Linked DNA regions of Coturnix japonica. The protein of the gene in region 1 interacts with the protein of each later gene in a pairwise test. Links are inferred from orthologs where the notes say so. Each region holds a gene or a part of one and is shown on either strand. Other genes may lie near its edges.

Region 1 (3,500 bases):
AGGCGATGAGGAGCTCATTCCAACCTGCAGAGAAAACAACAGAAAGGCCATGGTTCAGAACCGTGCATCTTCACAGTGTGGGAATCAGCCACATCCATTGCCCTGGCAACAGTGCATACAATGGCTGAGATGGCATGGCTTCTGTAGCTCGGTATCTGGAGGAGCAGCACTGCTCCATGGGCATCCCACATGGCCATGACCGTGCCTTGGAAACCAGCTTGAGCTCCCCTCCATCCACAGCAATGTGCCTTTTCTCATTGACTGCAATAAACACAAGGTCCATGCGTGCTGTGTTTACCTACAGCTGCAGCAATGGGTTGTGCCACTCAAAGCATTACCAGGGAATAAAGTTCACTGTTCCCTAAGTGGCCACAGGACGGTTCCGCCCCAATCAAGGGACCATTTATTTGGTTACACGCTGGGTGAGGTCTGGCACTTGCAGAGGGATTGCAACACTGAGAACAGAGAGACTGCAGGAAGCTGGAGGGGACCTGGAGAGATGGTGACTCATGGAAAGGTGCTGTGGGCTCAGCCCTATAAAAGGAACCAGAACCAGGCTCTCCCCCTCTCAGTCCTATAAAACATTACTGCTGTCTCAGCCGTAGCAGGTTTGGCACAAAGGAAAACCAGGCAAAACAAGCTGAAAAAAAGTTGGGTTTCCTCCTCCAAAAAGCCCAAAGAGGGAAGGTTTTAAATGATTCAGGACTGCAGAGGAAGGCTGCAGCCACCACCCAGCACTGCTCCTCCATGCGTGCTCCACTTAGTTTTGCCTCAGAGGATGCATGAGTGCACCTGATGGAGGCTCTTAGCTATATTTTAATACTTAAATATTTCATGGGCAGCTGTGCTCTCGCCACTCAATAATAGATAAAGCCACAGCTTAAAGGACTTGGGGGAGGTTATCTGAGGCCCCTGCAGAGATGCTGGGAGTGGGGAACCTGTGGGAGCTCCTCATGCTTATGAACCCATGACAAAACTCCATGATGGTGTCTGCAGCCCCCACCCTCCCTTCACCAACACTGAGACAGCATCAGTTCAACCTTCAATCTCTTGTTCAACCTTCCTCAGCCCCCTTTAGACAAACAATTGCAGCAATTACAGGATCACAAAATGGTTTGAGTTGGATGGGTCCCTTTAAGGCCATCAGGTCCCACTCCCTGCAGTGATTAAGGACACCCACAGCTCCGCAGGGTGTTCAGAGCCCCTCCAGTCTGACCTTGGCTGTCTGCAGAGATACGACCTGTGCCAATGTCTCACCACCCTTAGGAACTATTAGGATTCATGCACTTGGGATACAACTCTAAGTGCATCTGGAGGAAAATATGGGAACATTAAAACTACTGAGGTCTTTTCCTTTCCAATCCCAATTTCATCCTCCTTCCCACTGAGTTTGTCATTTGCTGGAAGGGGTTTCCCACGTCCCACCAACAACTTGCCTGCCCCTTTGTTTCAGGGAACAAAACTGCTGCGTTGACTCAAAGCCTTTGTACTCACTTCTCTGATGATGAGAGCTATGTGAAGAGCTTCGTGCCTACAAAGCACCCTCATCGAGTCTGCTTGTAATTTCCTGCTCCCCCCCCCCCCCCATTAGCCCTTGTGAAGGACCTGCCAGCAGCTGAGGCTTGCGTTTACTTGCTGGAAGAAGACCTCCTTCCCAGCTGACAGCCTGTAACCTCCCAGACCCCCTGCAGCATAAGGAAATTTAAAATAAACCCAAAGAACTTCATTTTCATCTTGGTGGGTGGGAGTGGGAAGGCGATATATATTTTTCTCCCCCGTCTGCTTTTAATTATGATCAAACATTGCAGTTCTATGACATTTCAGACAGACTCAAACCCCCTTGTCTTTCCAGTCCCAGCTCAGGAGGATGCTGGCACATCATGCCCTTGATTTCCTGAGCATCTCGTTCATCACACACAAGGCCGGGCCATTTTTCAGCCCATTGGCAGCTGGTGCAACGTTCTGGATCCCATTCAGCAATACATCCCTTGGGGCTTTGTCAATCATAGTTAGCAGTGGAATGATCTGAAGCTATTCCTCAGATGCAGCTAAAGCCTCTCCAGTTGCCAGCACCCAAATCCCAGCGTGACCATTGAGGGATGCAGTGCATCGGGGCTCACCGGCCCTGAGCAGGATGACCTGGTCGTCCAATGGCAGCGCAGAGAACCTGGGGATCCTCTTGGCCCACTCCACCAAGGTGAAGAGCTGCTTGTCGGCCGCCTGGCAAATGTTCGTCACCGGGTCATTAGGCTGCAAAGAGGAGATGGAAAGGTTTAGAGAAAGCAAGGAGAAAGATGGGAGGAGTAGGAGAAGGAGGGAAGGGGGTGCTGCCTGCTTGCTCCCCAAGTTTGGGAGCTCTGTGCTCAATTTAAGTGGGTATCATCTGCAGGGACCCTGCAGTGTGCACAGCCCAAGTGTAAGCACCTCCTCATTGCACCCCACAGCATGGAGCGGGCATCACAGTAAGGAGAAAAACCCTCTCCTTTGAAATATTACCCAGTAACACAAACCATCTGCTCTCAAGGAGGACAGTCAGCCTAAACACACCAAATCCCTGTTTAAAGGAACTGCTAACAGCTCAAGTGGACTTGTGATTAGGAATGGGAAGAGACCGTCTAACCCCAGCAAAGACAGACCCTGCCAGCACAAGTGTGTATATATGGTTTACCTCTCCGGACAAGGATGTATGAGCCCCTCCACATATCCCGCTGTAATCCCCACTGATACCTAGCAGCTCTGATTGTACAATTATTTTTCTTTATGTCCTTAAAAGAACAGTTTCAAACTCAGAGGAGGAGTGTTTGTTGCACCTCTGCACTGCATGAGGCTGGGGCATGGGTTCTGTGCAGGCAAGGCAGGAGTTGCCCCAGGCACATGTCTGTGTCCCATGGTGTGCTCCCTCCTTCTCACCTTCTTTCTGCCACCCACATTGCTGACTTCTCACTTTTCCACTCATATTCCCTCAATATTGTGGACTTTGGGGTACCTGCCCAGTACACTGGGGGACTCTCTGCATGCAATACATGCCCTTTACCCAGCTGCATGGAGGGAGCAGGAGGTGAGCACACCATAAGGGATGCATTGGCCCCAGGGGATTGAAAGGGAAAAGGTCAGAGACTAAAACAGTGTGGAAAGAACCCTTCCCTTACTGACTGCAGAGCTGACCGTGTGCTCACAAACCAAAGGGAGATGAGAAATGCCACTCTGAGAAAAGGAAAAAGCCCTACAATTCTGCCCAGAGCCATTCCTATGTTCCCCTGCCTGGGTGGCTCTGCTGTTTCCTGGCAGCAAACACCACCTCTGTGTCTCAGTGGCCAACATCTCTCATCTCCAGGCTTAAAATAACCAGCATCTGGCAGGAGCAGGAACACCCGCCTTCAAAGTATTCTCACCTGTTGCTCACAGAGATGGATGGGGACGGGCTGGCACTCAGCACCATGGGTCGAGGGGAGCGTTATGGGGATGGTCCCCCAGCTTCACTTGCTTATCAAGAGAGCTCA
Region 2 (4,211 bases), on another chromosome or scaffold:
GCACGGATGGGCAGCACACAGTTCTCCCAGCAGGCTGCTGTTCAAACACGGTGTGTTTATGGTGGTGGGGAGCCAGGAGGCTTTGTATGGCTGTTCTCCTGTGGGCTGAGGGCTGTGTGTGCACATCCAGGTGAGTCAGCACCAACCTCCTGCATCAGCACCTCCAGGTGTGGCTGTGTGCGTGAAGGAAGGTGCAGCACAGACAGGCTGCAGTTGTGCTGCCTCTGCAGGTTTCAGTGCACAGAGCAGTGTGTGCCCAGCACAGCTCATGGGGCTGCATTGCAATGCTCCCCTATGATTCCCTATGATGCTCCATCCCTGCATTCAGGTGTCCTTCCCACACTGTACCTCCAACAGCTATTTCTACAAGTCCAAAATGCCAGAAATATAACAAAAAATCACCAAAATGTGACACGTTTTTATTAAAAAAATAATTTACTGCATCTTATGTACAAATCAAATGAAGGTCCGCTCATTAAATACTGACATCAGTGACAAAAGCTGCAGGCAGGAGAAGCGAGCTTTCCTACTATGTTGAACCAGCTGGAACTCAAGGCAGGGATGTTTGTTCAGTGTCTGTAGCTCAGTGTGTTCCTGAGCCATTCCAAGTATTGCCATATATATATTGAGGTGTATAGGGAGGATGAAGTGGTGTTCATGCAGCGTTATTTGCCGTACGTTTCACTGCTCTTAGGTAATCCAATCTGTGAGCAATCCTGTTGCAGCTCATGGCATCGTGGGGAGGAGATGCGATGTGATGAGAGGCAGGAGGCGTTCATGAAGCTGGCTGCACGCCCTGTAAGATCTGATGCTTCTCCCTCCTGCTGTCTGAGGAGGATTCTTGGTGGCTGTCTGTGAGATTTCATGCACAGCAGACACTGGCTGATACTTAAAGATCTAATTCCTTACGGCTTGCACCTGGTTGTACTCTACAAGTGATACCACCGAAGATACTCAGCACCCCTAAATACCACTATCAGCACAGAGCCATCACGGGCAGCAAGTTGAGGTCCAACCTCATCTCATGGAGTTAACAAAACACACATTGATTTTAATTGAACTGAGGATTCACTGAGATATAAAAAGCCTGGAGCAGGCTCTAACTCAGTCTGCTCTGTGTCACAGGGCTGGCCTGCTTGCTAGAAACTCAGTACCACCAGCCACACACACTCACATTCCTCAAAACAGACTGGCAGAGGTGGAGCAGCCATGCTGAATCAAGGCTGCTTTCCTTTATGCTCTGAGCCCTACAGCCTAGAGAGAGGCACACGCAAAGCCCTGTGGAGCTGAGTGCCTGACTGCCTGCTCCACAGTCCTCCCTGCTGCCCTGCCAGGTGTTGTTGAGCACCCCCAGGGCTGTGGCAGAGCACAGCAGCTCACAGAGCCACGCGTGGTGAAGGAGCCGGCTGCCAGCTGGTGATTTCATACAGCATATCCACGATGAGCTCGACAATGTCTGCGTTGCCAATGATGGGTCGGAAGAAGAGGTCTGTGATGAGGGCAGGAGGGATGGATTTCAAGGTGGAGGTGATGAGTAAAATGAGGGTAAAGCGGTCCTGGTCCTTGGGGTGTAGGATCTGCACAACTTCCTGAAGCGCTCGCTCGGCTTCCCGCTGGAGGCTCTCGATGTACAGGGAGGCTGTCAGCCCTGGGACATCTGCCAAGAGAAAGGAGGGAAGGATGTGAAGAGGAAGGCTGGAAAACAGCTCGAGGTTTCTCCCATCTCTCTCCCCGTATCTTGGAGAAAAACCTCAGAGCCATTAACAACATGTATTTCAGGGCTGTTGCTTTGAGGGAGTAAATACAGCTAATGAAGCAAACATGGGCTTTGTAGAGTAAGACCCAGGGTTCTTTGATTGCAAGGTAAGGAGGTCTCTGCTTTTAAACACTACATTTTCAGTATCCCTCCTCCCTGCTTCCCAGAGGTAAACTGCATTGCTGGTGCTAATGATGTGAGCAGCTCTCCCTGCTCTCACACACACTTTTGCCCAAACTCTGAGCGACTCCAAGCCAAGAGCAGTGTTTTTAAATGCTAACTCATGCAGGGCTTTCTCTTGCCACCAGCAGGCAGAGCTGGGAGGGTTGAACACTCACCAGGATTAAAGAGAATGGCTCCCTTCAGGTAGGCGTATTCTTTGGGGCTCAAGTCCAGGCTCCAGAAGGTGTTGAGGCTGCACTGCAGCCACTGCACAGCGGCCAGCATGGGCTGAGTCCACTCAGGCTCCTGCCTTTTGCTTTGGCCATCGAGGAGGATCTTCTCAAGCATGCTGGGGGCTGGGGTCTCCATCACCTCAAATGTCACCGTCTCCTGGACCAGCCCCAGGAGGAAGAGGGGGACCCAGCAGCTGTCCAGCAGCAGGAGCTGGTCCCCTCGAGGCAGCAGGTGGAAGGAAGGGAGGTTTTTCATGAAGCTGATGGTTTTCACCAACACGTCGGATGCAGCTTGGCAGGTGATATGGGGTGTCCGGAGGCAGACCGTCCAGCGCTGGTGGCACAGGCAGCGTTGGTGAGGTGGGCTGTGGCTCAGGTTCTGGCTGAGGAGGGTGTAGAGAATGGCTGGGTGTTTGTCTTCATGCTGGCACTGACACCTCTCGCAGTCCATGTCTATGCTGCTGGTCATCAGAGCAGAACTGGGAGCCCCGGATCCTCTGTGAAACTCCGCAGATGGGAGAGACCTGTAAGTTTCCTCCCCGTCTCAATCTGGGAGTGACCTGTCCTCCCAGCTCTGCCAGCACATGGCTGTTCAAACAAGCTCTTATAAGGCTCGGTCACAAGTGGAACACCCCTTCCCAGCCTTGACCGCTCCGTGATTAAGCGGTCCTCATTAAAGAAGAAAAAAAACAACAAAAAAAAAAAGCCACCAACCCCAGCTGTCCCCAGACTGATTGGCTGGAACCAGCAGGATCTCAGCATGGCGTCAATGGCCGTTTTCTCAATGAAACCCCAGCAGGGGCAGCGGGTTGGGCAGCCTTATCACAATTACCCAAACAGTATAAACAAAGTCATTAACCCGGGCTGTACCATGGCACCAAGGCCCCACGCTGCAATCAGGTTGTGCTATCTGGCAGCTGTCGCTGCCAAGGAGTTCACACACACACACACATACACACACACACATACACACACAGGGTGTTCGTCTGAAGCGAGGACCCCATGGCAAATGGCCTTGGAAAGAGCAACCTGGAAGTCATTTTATCAGCAGCTGTTTGCCTAACCTTGTTGACAGGAGATCGGTGTTGTTGCAGTTAAGGAAGGTGGTGAACTGAAAGACTAAACCTAAAGGCAGCAGCCCATTGTGCTGAAGGAGTAATGCTGGGTAGGTGAGAGGCAGGTTTATAGGTTTTTACCTTGAATTGCTCTGGAATTTGTATGTTTTGATCAGCATTAGTTAAATGACAGCACACAATTATGGATTCCAGTGGGGCCTGTGAGGAATTCCTCACACAGGGGGTGCCTGGTGAACCCTGTGAGGATGGGAACAAGTGATTTGGCAGGACACGGGGAAATGGTTTTAAGTTAAAAGAGGGAAGATTTAGGTTGGATGTTAGGGGGAAGTTCTTCACTAGGAGAGTGGTTAGGCCCTGGAACAGGCTGCACAGGGAGGTTGTGGATGCCCCGTCCTTGGAGGTGTTCAAGGCCAGGTTGGACGGGGCCCTGGGCAACCTGATCTATGGGGTCTCTATGGGGTCTCTATGGGGTCTATGGGGTCTATGGGGTCTCTATGGGAATCTATGGGGTCTATGGGGTCTCTATGGGGTCTATGGGGTCTATGGGGTCTCTATGGGGATCTATGGGGTCTCCTGGGCAACCTGATCTAGTAAATGTGTATGTTTTATGGCCCTGCCAGGCAGGGGGTTGGAGCTACATGATCCTTGAGGTCCCTTCCAACCCGGGTCATTCTGTGATTGATTCTGTGATTTAAGGGCACGCAGCTCTTGGTGCACAAATGGGATGGAACTGATGGCCACACTGATGGCTTTTCACCAAAAAAACACCCATCTACCTGCATTTGTCGGCCAACACAAGTCAGCCTGGGGAAGCGGCAGCACCTGCTGATTGATTTAATGGAGCAATAGGAACCCTATGGGGATAAGGACCACTCACTCTAATGCACACAGCTCTCAGTGCAATGGAGTGAACCCAGCAATGAGGCCTACAGCAGCCACAGGGACCAGCATAGCCTGTCCATACTGCAGATTACAGGCTCTTTG

The links.
Region 2: the proteins of RXRA (region 1) and NR0B2 interact in a two-hybrid assay, tested with the Homo sapiens proteins (2 studies listed by BioGRID and IntAct). The link is inferred for Coturnix japonica from reciprocal best matches to the Homo sapiens genes RXRA and NR0B2.

What each region holds. Positions count from the first base shown.
Region 1 is NC_029532.1:5,859,644-5,863,143, reverse strand, and holds part of RXRA (retinoic acid receptor RXR-alpha), read right to left. Parts: intron 2,251-3,500; coding exon 2,121-2,250; intron 25-2,120; coding exon 1-24. UniProt on the Homo sapiens protein: Receptor for retinoic acid that acts as a transcription factor.
Region 2 is NC_029538.1:1,621,961-1,626,171, forward strand, and holds NR0B2 (nuclear receptor subfamily 0 group B member 2), read right to left. Parts: upstream 2,801-4,211; 5' UTR 2,621-2,800; coding exon 2,095-2,620; intron 1,658-2,094; coding exon 1,377-1,657; 3' UTR 399-1,376; downstream 1-398. UniProt on the Homo sapiens protein: Transcriptional regulator that acts as a negative regulator of receptor-dependent signaling pathways. Specifically inhibits transactivation of the nuclear receptor with which it interacts.